Linked DNA regions of Caenorhabditis elegans. The protein of the gene in region 1 purifies or fractionates together with the protein of each later gene. This does not show direct contact. Each region holds a gene or a part of one and is shown on either strand. Other genes may lie near its edges.

Region 1 (5,460 bases):
ACTTTTAAATTTTAAAAGCTTAAAAGCTTTAGTCGAAATAAAATCAAAGGAAAGTGTGGAGAATTACAAACTGCCTTTGCCGATGCTTTTATTTCCTTCTGTTAAAACCTTTTCTGAGCGGGTCAGCAGTTAAATAGTTGGCCCATAACTTACGAACCGCTCACGCAGATGGACATTTAAATATTTTGTTGCAGTTTTGAAACGAGGGATTCATTTTGGAGCTCCCAGGTCTGAAACCCTCCCAATGTCAATGAGCTTCATCAGTTTTTATAAGGGCGTAGCAAGGATTCAGTTGTTATATTCAATTTTTGGTATTTGTTGTGCAAAACACAAAATCTCCTACGTTTTCCTATAGAGGATGCAATAGAAGTATGAACTTTGATCATGCTATAAGGTATTGGTAATTTGTATAAGTTTTCGAGTTGTCCATAATATAAATGTTTTAATTTTTGAACAGTAATGTGAACTTTCCACGAATAAAAAATTCAGTCCAAGAATCAAAGTTCAATTCATTTCCAACAAGAAATGAAGCTCTTCCTTGTGCCAATTCTCTTTCTCATCTTTTGTAATTATTTTGTAAATGGTTTCAATATGGCTATTTACAAATCGATGAAGAAATCACCAACAACCACATCTCGTCCCACTATGAAATTGGTGCCACCAATCTACGTTCCTGCTCCAATTCGTCCTTGATTCACTTTATACCATGATGATTATAATAAAGTAATTTTATTTAAATTTAAGTAATTTATTGAATAAAGTTAATTTCATTGAATATTTTAAGTGAATTAATCTAAACTGGTGCCAGAAAACCAGATGATTAAAATGTTGTTTTCAACTTTATGATAAAGTTGTCTTATTATTCGCGGCACTCCATCGATTTGTCACAAACTTTGCCGCTTTTCCTCTTGTTTGATCTTTTGTCTGCTTTTCGATGTCAAAAATTCGATTTGGAAACTTTGGCAGCCGTTCTTGTTCCCAGTTCCGACTTAAGCAATCTACCGCAAGATCTGAAAACTTGAAAACTATATTACTGTAGTTGATGTGGCCTACCGTATCTAGTTGCGTTGGTTGGGTTACTGAGAGTTGCTTGGAGAGGGAATAAATCAGAAATATAACTATCCAAGTCGTCCAGGGGAACTCTTGTCATCCCAATTACCATAACAAATTTTATATTCGAAAGATCGGATAGGAAGTTTCGGAGAAGTATCTGTAAACGTGTGTTTTTAAAACAATTGTGCATAGTATAATAGTTTTTTGTACGGTACCTGTCGATGTGTGTACCCTTTATGCTTGGGATCCTTCTTCATCACGTCAATTCGATCAATACTGACCAATAGTCGTTTTTCCTGTTTTGCCAGCTTTTTAACCACCGTATAAATTTTGCGTTTTCCCATATTCACGACATTTTTCGAAATGTGAACGTGTGTGACATGACATGCACGCGATATTGCTCTCGCCCACGTAGTCTTCCCCGAGTCTGGAGCTCCTGACAGCAATAGCCACTGCATTTTCTGATCTTTCGACTTTTGTTTTTGCCACGTGCCAAGTGAACATGGAGTACAGACGGTTTGAACAAGGAATGAGCGGAAATCAAATTTAAATTGCCGATTTTCAATTTTGCATATTTCCCTCTGGGAAGTTAGTTCTGAAAGTTCAATTTGTGCAAGTGGGGATACGATTCCACGGAAGCAAGCATCTCTGAATATAGTTTCCTGGTTGTTCAAATCAATCGGAAGTGCAGATGGTTTTATATCAGTAAGATCGGAAGTCGGGAAAAAGAAATGTGTCTTTAGAAGTTTCAATGCTTCGGCTAAGTCGGTGTTCTAAAATAAATAAAAAATAGATCAAAATTTTGTTTCAAAAAATAAAGGCTCACAAACTCCTCAATTTGTTCAATTATTTCCCCTCCACCAACGCCACCAGCAAGACCTTCCTTCCTTTTCCGCTCCCTCTCTGCACATCTCTTTCGGATATAACTTTCTGGAGTCATATTCAGAATATTCAGCTCTTTTTCGCGCATTTCTCGAACCAACTTTCGAGCAAAGTATCCACGGGTTCTCTGAAAAAATTCTATAGAAATAAAGGAAATATTCGGATTTTTGTAAAGTTGACTTTCCACCATGGCACAGAAATGGCTGCCTACCTAGGTAGGCATGAGACAATATGCCTAAAGAGGAGCGCCTGTCATGACAGCATTGAAGAAAAGTAAATTTAAATTCACCGCCTGAATCCTAATTGCCGCTTGCGTCGCATCTATTTCGACTTTCAGACCATGAAGCTCCGCTGCTCGTTCTCTAACAAAACGGACATAGTTTCTACGAGAAATTGCTTGATACTCTGAAAATTAATATTTACAGCGATTGTTGAATAACAGCCAATAAATAATATCAACTTCTCTCTAATTTTTGTATAATGAGCACAGCATATTCGATCGACAAAAGTTGTGTTTCTTGTTCAGCTTCAGCATTTTCAAAATCAATATCAAAATCTGTTTGCGTTTTCAGAAATGATTCTCTAAATGCCTTCTGTTCCTGACATGCTCTTTTCACTTCCAGATGATGCTCGTGATGTCCGATTGCAGCTTGGCTTATCATACGCCACGTTGAAGTTATTGCCACGTCTTCTTGAGTGAAGCTGTGTGATATGTAAAACTCATCAAACCCACTTTCAATGTGAGTTGTAGGAATTTTAGTAAAGACGTCCAAGAAGAATGAACTCAGCATTTTTGCAGATACTGAAATTGTTGAGTTATAAGTGAGTTTGCGAAGTCAGCTCTTACCTAGAAGACATTTCAAATTTGTTTGTGAACCTTCAATAGACACCATTCGATCGGAAGTTTTATAGAAGCTTATCAAATTTAGATAAATTTCAAAAATCAAGTCCTTCCGAGCATTTCCAGCTAAATTTGAAACCATTCTCGTCTGAACAATATTGATAGATTAGTTTAGAATTGTCAACGTACCCTTGGGACATTTTCACCTCGATTCAGTTGTTTCAGCTGACTAGAAATTAAAGTTACCAAATGCAAAAGCCGTTCTTTTGTCTGATGTGTTCCGTAAAATTTTGGAGATGTTGGATAGAGCTTAGAATACATTCGGATGTAAATTGAAAATAACTTGAGAATGGGGAGTGGGCAAACCGACATAAAGTGTAATGAACCGGAAAATAAACTTGAAATTGTCTCAAAAAATTTTGAAATTATTGAAATTGTGCTAGGATTGAAGGTTGAAAGAAAGTTAAAGAGAGAATGTGCTAGAAATTCTAAAAATGTGTTGAAAACAATTCGAAAAGATAAAGAAGTCTATTTGGATTTTTAATATATTTTTAATTCAAACTAAGAAAAGGCGACGCAAGGCACTTTTTGTCTAACGGAAAATCGAATCTACTTATGAAAATCCCAGACCATTACACGCCCTTGAACTTTTCACACAGTCACTAATATCTTGTGCTGTGTACCACAAGCACGTGTGTTAAGAAAAATAAATGGACTCGAGTGATAAACTTTTTCTGGGCAAAAAAAAAGGATCACTTTGAAGGAAAATTTCGCTTACCATGTAGACTTGCAGGTGCTCATTTTTATTTTCTCTATGAAGAATTGTTGAATTTCATAAATTTCTTCTTGATTTATAATGTCTTGCTACCGATCAACCCACATTACATTTATCAAATTATACGTGAGTTGAGTAAATATGGAGAGCCCCTAGTAAAACATTGATCAACGAAAAAAGATATGGGGAAAATTGTTTTTGCTCTGTGCTCTTTCTCATGTCAAGCTCATTTGATTATTTTTTGGGCTCTTTTTCCTCGTTTCTCTGTTTTCAGAAGGAAAATAAAATCAAATGCCTCTCCTGTGCCGCGATAACCAAAAACCACCGAAAAATCCGCTGAAAATCTCTCGAATTTCAACCAAATTTCCGGTTTAGTTTCGTCTTTCCCTCTTTTTTGTTTCGTTTTTGTCCCATTTCGCGGAGAAAATGTATATTTTTAGGCAGAGAAAAAATGGAACACATCAATTTATTTTTTCGTGCTCCAATTTTATGCACCCCTATTCGTCTTGTTCTCTGAAATTGCATTTTTGTTCTTTTTTAGAAGATCTGACAAAAACGGAAAGAGCACATAACCTGATTATGTGCTCATTTGAGCAAAAACTTTTAATTAGGACACTCCCCTTTTTTTGTGGTTTGAACTACCAATAACTTGGTTTTTGCTCAAGGTTTTTTTAGGGAGCCAACTTTTTTTTTTCAAAAATACATGTATTTTTGGTATTTCAAAGATTTTTTTCTCAAATAAAAATCCTAGTGCATTGTATTTAATTTACATTCAAATTAAGAATGGTTTAGTTTAACCTAGATATTTACGAAACCGCGTCTTACACCCTACATCATGATATTTGAAACATTTTTCAGAATCATGGCCACTTGTTTGGTGGAATTTGCTAAATCTCCTCCGGTATTTTCTCCGGGAGAAAAAGTCACCGGAAATGTGAAAATGACAATACCAGATGACGAGTTCAAAGCTCGAAAAGTTCGAATGGAAATGATCGGAAAAGCATACACATACTGGGAGGGAAATGTTCGAAATAATCACACTAAAATCAAGTAACTTCTAGACATTTGTTAACTCACTAATTCAATGATACCATTTTCAGAAACGGTGATATTGCTAGAGTCCGACACAATTGTGCAGATCACAAGGGGAAAATTGTGTATTGTCGCTTCGAGACCATCGTATGGAAAAGTGATGGAGCAAAGGTAGCATAATTATAGTAATTCTACAAAATTAATATTTTCCAGAACGATATGCCTTCTGGCCCACACATCTTCCCGTTTTCATTCCAACTCCCTCACTGGGCTCCACCGAGTTTTGAAGGTTTTGTTTTCAAATTTAAAATCTAATCCATTTTCCAATTTAAGGAGATCTTGGATTCATTCGATATTTTATAAAGGTGGAAATCGATAGACCATGGAAATTCGACGACAAGTTTATCACCTGCCTAACCGTGCTCCCAAATATTGACCTGAGGTTAATTCCCAACTCTCAGGTTCCATCAAAGAAGCACGTTTGTGAAGAATTTGGTGCAGTTTTGTGGAAGAATGGGCTTGTGAGAATGGAGGTAAAATGAGGAATATTCTCTGAAAATAAGCACAATAATATTCAGCTCCGCCTTCCTAAACAAGGATTCGTGTGTGGAGAAAATATTCCGGTGACTATGATTGTGGATAATAAGACATCGAAAAGTTTCAAAAAGGTATTGTCATTTCAGATATATGCGAATAATTCTTTGAAAATTCAATGATATTTCAATTATAGCTAATCTCGCTCTTGTATTTTTTTTTTCAAATCGAGAATCGATAATGATAGCACTTAAAGTTTAGTTTTAAATACTGTTGTACTAATCAGAGACTTGATCGGTTCAGACGTTAATGTGGCCGACACTGATTAGTCTGAAGTTTTCAC
Region 2 (5,682 bases), on another chromosome or scaffold:
CCAAAATTATTAAGAGGCAGCCATGAGGTACTACAATTTTTGTTCTAAAAAACATGTGTTAATCCGCGGAGTGAGCAAAAAGTGTGGTCAATTTTAACATGGAAATTTTGTTTTTCAAAGCAGATTTGAGTGTTACAGTTTGTGCTCATTGTTTGTTTCAATACCTGGTTTTCTCTATTTTAAAGATTGTATATTAATCGGTCCCATACTTCTCCATCAGAGTAAAAGATTAATCTTACCTCTACTGGCTCCGCCACATAAATCGGTCCTTTTTCTGGATTTTTTGCCGCATTTTTTGAGTCGATTCTGGAAATTGGAAGGCAGAATTTTTAACGCATGTTGAAAATGTTGCAAATAATTTTAATATCATGTTGGTAATGTGTTGAATATTTTAACACAGTCAACGAAATATATATTGATAGACATCTCCCGAACTCATTTTTTACGATATATTTTTGAACGTATTAGTGTAAAATCATGTGTTTGAGTTTCAGAACCTTTAGGATATGCATTCAAAAATGGGCTTGCTAAATTTTGCCTTTACGGGTAAGTTAGGAAAATTCCCTAAACATTCTTTAAAATAGATGTTATTAAAGTTATTTCGGATTTCTATGAACTGAAAAACATTTAAGTCCCTCACTTTATCATATTTGTTATTTTTATTCAATATCCCCCATTACCTATAGTCACAGGTTATTTTTCAGTGACCACTGACTTTTTTACTAACAAACAACTCTTTGCCACTGCCTCGCCACCCCATAAATCCCTCTCAAATGTGCCAATTTTATCGGCCACAAAGTATCAAATTCTGGTGGTCTCCATCTCTATCCAGCGTATCCCATTCTTTGCCTAAATCTCTCTCAATTCAGCACTATTTCGTGATTCTCAATTTTTGATACTCCACTGTCATCACTGACTTTAAACCAGTGAAACAGTGCCAAATGATGTGGACACGCAGACATATGGATAATAATAATGTGGTAAAATAGTGCGAGATTTGATTCGTCGCAGAGAAATTGCTTCAAGATGTTGGAAGAATGGAATGGAAAAAGAGTTGCCGACTGGACGACAGATTGATGATTGAGTGAAAACGAGACCGCCCATTATTCATGGTTTCAATGATAGGGACACATGTTTGTTACGTCTGATTGTCAAAGTCTTCAAGATATATACACCTATAAGGCAGATGTATACTGCCTGAAAACGATCTACACATTTTCAGTCGAGTTGTCACTAAAAGTAGACACATGTTGCCTTCACGTACATTTTTGTCTGTTTGTTTGTCTTGTGAAAAGTACACCGATTTTTTGAACTAAATTGGAACCTGAGAAATTAATAGAAGTGTCAGTTTGTATATTTTCTACAAGGAAACCCTTAAATGCAGCCTACGCCTACTTGCAGTGAATTTCAAATTTTCTTCACATGATAGTATGGATAAGGTCGCCATTGGATACACATGCCTTGAATGCCTACAATATGCCTGTACCTTCATGAAAGTCTAGATTGAACATAGTTAACGTTTCTTTTGACACAGAAACGCTCAAACGGTAAATCCAGATCTAATTCCTTTTTTTAATGTTTTAACTCACCCGCATATCCGTTGAGTCAAAATTGAGCTGGATTGAGTGATATCAAACATACATCCTTTGAGCGCTGTTTCGTTTATTGTGAGCCCTACAATTTGTTTGAATTCAACTTTGTATTTTAATATTTTTTATTTTTCTATTCAACTCAAGCATCCTCTTCTAACACATGGCTCATAAAAATGAAGAAGAAGAAGAGAAAACATATAATTTACAAAATGTGTCGGTTGGTGGTGAACAAGTGCAAGTATAAACAGGGATGATGGAAGGACACATGTGTTGACACTTGCTAATTAGTCCAACAACTATGATTTTTTGAAGAAATGGGTTAAACTTTTCCGGGAATCTTGAGGTATCTACTGCCTACATTTTGAGATAAAAAATACAGTTTTATTGACCGGGAAAAGAAGAAATGGCGGGATTTGGCTTCGAAGCGAGTTCTTAGAAATTGTTTTCTTATTATACTTTTTGACTCGGTAGTTAAAAAAATTAGCTGCAAACCCCAACTCCCAATTTTTGTGAAGAATTCAGGGTAAAGAAAAAAACGGAACTGTTGTGCAAATACTCGAAAAGTTCAATTTAACAATTTTGCGCAATAATTGAAAATATGCTGAAATCATACTCAAAAAATAAGTTTTACAATCTTTGTATGTCCTTTTCAGCAATTTTCAAAAAAAGCTAACAAATTTCTATTAGGTCTATTTGAAATGTCATGTTCATCGGAATGATCTGCTGATGAATTTTCAATGACTCTCTTTCCTTTTTAAGCTTCTTCCTCTCTCTCTCTCTCCATCTCCTTCTTCTTTTCTCATTCATTCATCTTCATCAATTGTTTATTACGGAACAAACATAGAGAACAGCAACAACAACATACCGAGATGCTCCAGAATACTCCAAAGAGTACTCTTTTGCTCATTTCCGGCGCCGGCTCCAGCTTCCAAAAGGAGCCGAAAAGAAGACTAAAGTGCTCTTTTTGTTGGTGTGCTTTGAGGCAGCCGCTATGATTCTAGCACAAAAACTATTCTAGCCACTTGCAGCAAGCGTCTTTCCAGATTTATGAGATTGGTTTTCACTTAATATCGGGGAGGGAAGATTGAAATCTCTAATTTTAGGAAGAATTTTTCAAGTTGCAGAAACTCGTTTTGTTGTCATCATCGACATCGAGAAACTGGCAACCAGCAAACATGAGCAGTAATTCAAAAGTCTTTTTTCAAACGCAAATCGGAGAGTTTGAAGCAATCATTTTGTAAAAAAAAGCGAAATGAGTCAGATTTTTCTACTGATTTCACAATTAGATATAATGTTTCAAAAAATTTCAAGGTTGTTTTTACAGTCAGGAAGTAATTCGTTCGTTAATTCTTTCGGTAACTTACCGATATTTGGAGCTGAACACAATGTTGGAGAATAAACCAGAGAGTTTGCATGTGGACTTTGAAAATGTAAAGAAATATGTGAAATACATTTCAATGAGAATGATGTAGTCTCATTTTCAGAAATAGCTGATACAGGAATCGAATCCGCGTAGATGTGTCCATTGTGAAATGATAATGATAAGTTTTTGGACGGTGTGCTCAATATAATTGGTGCAGGATTAACCGATGGTCCGTTGATTTGTAGATCGAAAGTTAGGGGAGATGTGATAAGTGATATCAGTGCCAGAAAAGCCATCGGCACATTTGGCCTAGACTGTACTGAAATGGAGAAAGTTTTTGGTGGGCAGTAAAAGAGGCAAGAAGTATGTTGGTCTCAGACACAGAAAGAAGCTCAAGCCACGCCCATCAAAGAGGTTCGAGGGAGGAAATGAGGGAAGGAGAAGAAAGAGGAACAACTGACACATAGTACATCATAAGCTGGCAGAAGGTTGAGGAACGAATGAAAAAGACAGAGAAAAAGAGAAATGAGGAATCAGATGATAATAATAATGATTAGATTTATTAACAGGTATACTGCGGTTGACAGGAAGATAGAGATTGCGATTTTTCATGAAATCTTGTTTGATTAATGGAATAAAAAATTTTGAAGAACTTGGTTATCACATAATATTTTATTGAGTTAGTATGAGAGCAATACAAATCGATCAAATCATTGAATCAAAGCGAAAGCCACTATTGGGACAACAATAAAGGTTTTCCAGTGGTTGATAAAGTTTTTTTTTTCGAATCAGATAAAGACGATTATTCGGTTTTGGAGGAAGATGATGAACCGACAAAATTGTGTAATATGTAATTTTCTCATGTTTGGAACTATTTCTCTTTCCCGCAAATTCTCAACCAACTTCATCAACTTTAGAGATGCCTAATTTCTGAAATGAAGGCACGACTTCATGACTACCACCCTGCTTCTTGCTTTCCTGTCCTGAATTGAAATCCTGCGAGGTTAATGGTTAGCACATCTTAAATTTAATCTAATCTGAATGGAATAAGAATTTAGCCGAACAGCTTTGATTGAGTTCAGAAACAAAGACATATTACGATAATCACATATTATTTTATTAACTGCAATAGATTAATGTAATAAAGACTTTTGAAGAACTTGGTTATCACATAATATTTTATTCAGTTAGTATAAGTTAGCAACAGAGATCAATCAAATCATTGAATCAAAGCGAGAACGACCATTGGGACAACAAAGAAGGTTCCAGTGTTGTAAGCAGCTTTTGTGGCATTGGTTGAAGTTTCTCCGAGCAAGTCATCAACAGAAGTTACATTTGGTGCAACAGTCGATGAAAGCGATGGACGAGAAGCCCCTTCAGTTGTAGCTTCGATGTTATTGGCAGCTGGAGTATCAACTGGAGCATTGGTTTCAGCATCTTTAGTCTCTTGAGTGGCTTCTACAACAACAGCTTCTGTAGTTTCTTCAACAGCTTCGGTGGTTTGAACTGGTTCTGTAGCTGGTTCTGTTTCTGCAACGGCTTTGGCTGTTGTTTCGATGAGAGCCACAGTTGCATCTTCAGTGACTTTAGTTGCAGTCCTGGAATAGAAAAGTAAAAAAGAGTAATTATAGAGAACAACTCACACAGCAACGGCAGTATCGTCTCCATTGACAATTGGAGCCAAGATGAGGAGCATGGCGAACAAGATGTTGATTGATTGCATGTCGATTGATTTGGTGCAAGTTTGCAAGATGATGGTTAGTCGAATGTTAATGTTCAAGTGAGAACTGATTTTATTTCAATTTTCTCATCTTCACATCAACTTTTATCTCGATGTTTGATCGACCTTTACGTGAAATACGTATTCATTGGACATTGGAAAAGCTCACGTTTATCTTCAAAATATTTATATTAAAATAAAAAATCATATTCAGATGCTTTTTTCAATTAAAGCAAACCAGCTGTTATGTACCACTACAGCAACCTGAAAGTATCCTTATAAGTACTATCGGAGAACCCCAAAAACCACCCAAGAAAATGTTCTATAATTATATTTAATTAGGACTGGCAAACAGGATTGATAGTAAATTGGATCCATCACGAGCAGGAGTATGACTTTACGTTTTCAATCTCACAAAATTTGTGGGGGTCAGATGAAATAGGTCCAGTATACCGCGTTAGTGATAAAAAGAAAATATAACAATCTTCATGAAGTTATAATAAAAAACTAAATATATTTGATTCTCCTTCTGTTCCAAATCGATTTTCTATTTCTCCTCGATTTCGCGACTTCAAATTCATAATAATCGTAAGAAAACTTCTTTTCTTGAGCTGGATCCACCATTTTCTGCATTTGATACGATCGGCGTGGGCAGGGACAATATGATGCGTCGAGTCCAGGCTCTCCGTGGATTCCTCTCTGAAACGTGACTCAATATATTAAAACTTCAAAAATATTGAGCTACCTTTCCAATGATTCCTGACCTTCCACTTGCACCAGGCATACCAGGACGTCCTCTGATACCTGGCGATCCAGGTGGTGCTGAAATTGGGAACTAAATAGAAAAGTGAGCATGGAGGAAAGCCAACCATTGACTGTTCTTCCAGGCATTCCAGGTTGCCCAGTAAGACCTCGCGGTCCTACAGAACCTTTTGGGCCTCTTGTATTCATCATTTTCATTACAATAAGACCAGGTTCTCCTTCTTCACCACCTATTCCTCGTTTCC

The links. Proteins that work in one complex are often made in the same cells at the same time.
Region 2: the proteins of ZK938.3 (region 1) and C48E7.6 fractionate together in Caenorhabditis elegans (co-fractionation; one large-scale study listed by BioGRID). This does not show direct contact.

What each region holds. Positions count from the first base shown.
Region 1 is NC_003280.10:9,830,808-9,836,267, forward strand, and holds ZK938.3 (ATPase AAA-type core domain-containing protein), read right to left. Parts: upstream 3,149-5,460; coding exon 2,966-3,148; intron 2,925-2,965; coding exon 2,783-2,924; intron 2,738-2,782; coding exon 2,396-2,737; intron 2,341-2,395; coding exon 2,225-2,340; intron 2,063-2,224; coding exon 1,880-2,062; intron 1,827-1,879; coding exon 1,269-1,826; intron 1,211-1,268; coding exon 1,054-1,210; intron 1,011-1,053; coding exon 841-1,010; 3' UTR 714-840; downstream 1-713. Other genes in the region: ZK938.12 (uncharacterized protein), read left to right, coding at 526-693; arrd-5 (Arrestin C-terminal-like domain-containing protein), read left to right, coding at 4,414-4,601, 4,652-4,754, 4,797-4,872, 4,917-5,116, 5,162-5,251.
Region 2 is NC_003279.8:6,233,781-6,239,462, reverse strand, and holds the start of C48E7.6 (Chondroitin sulfate proteoglycan 4), read right to left. Parts: upstream 3,330-5,682; 5' UTR 3,252-3,329; coding exon 2,957-3,251; intron 1,675-2,956; coding exon 1,590-1,674; intron 890-1,589; exon of another isoform or gene 753-889; intron 307-752; coding exon 240-306; intron 1-239. Other genes in the region: C48E7.7 (MS Related Protein), read right to left, coding at 4,175-4,553, 4,599-4,678; col-56 (Col_cuticle_N domain-containing protein), read right to left, coding at 5,183-5,374, 5,421-5,497, 5,545-5,682.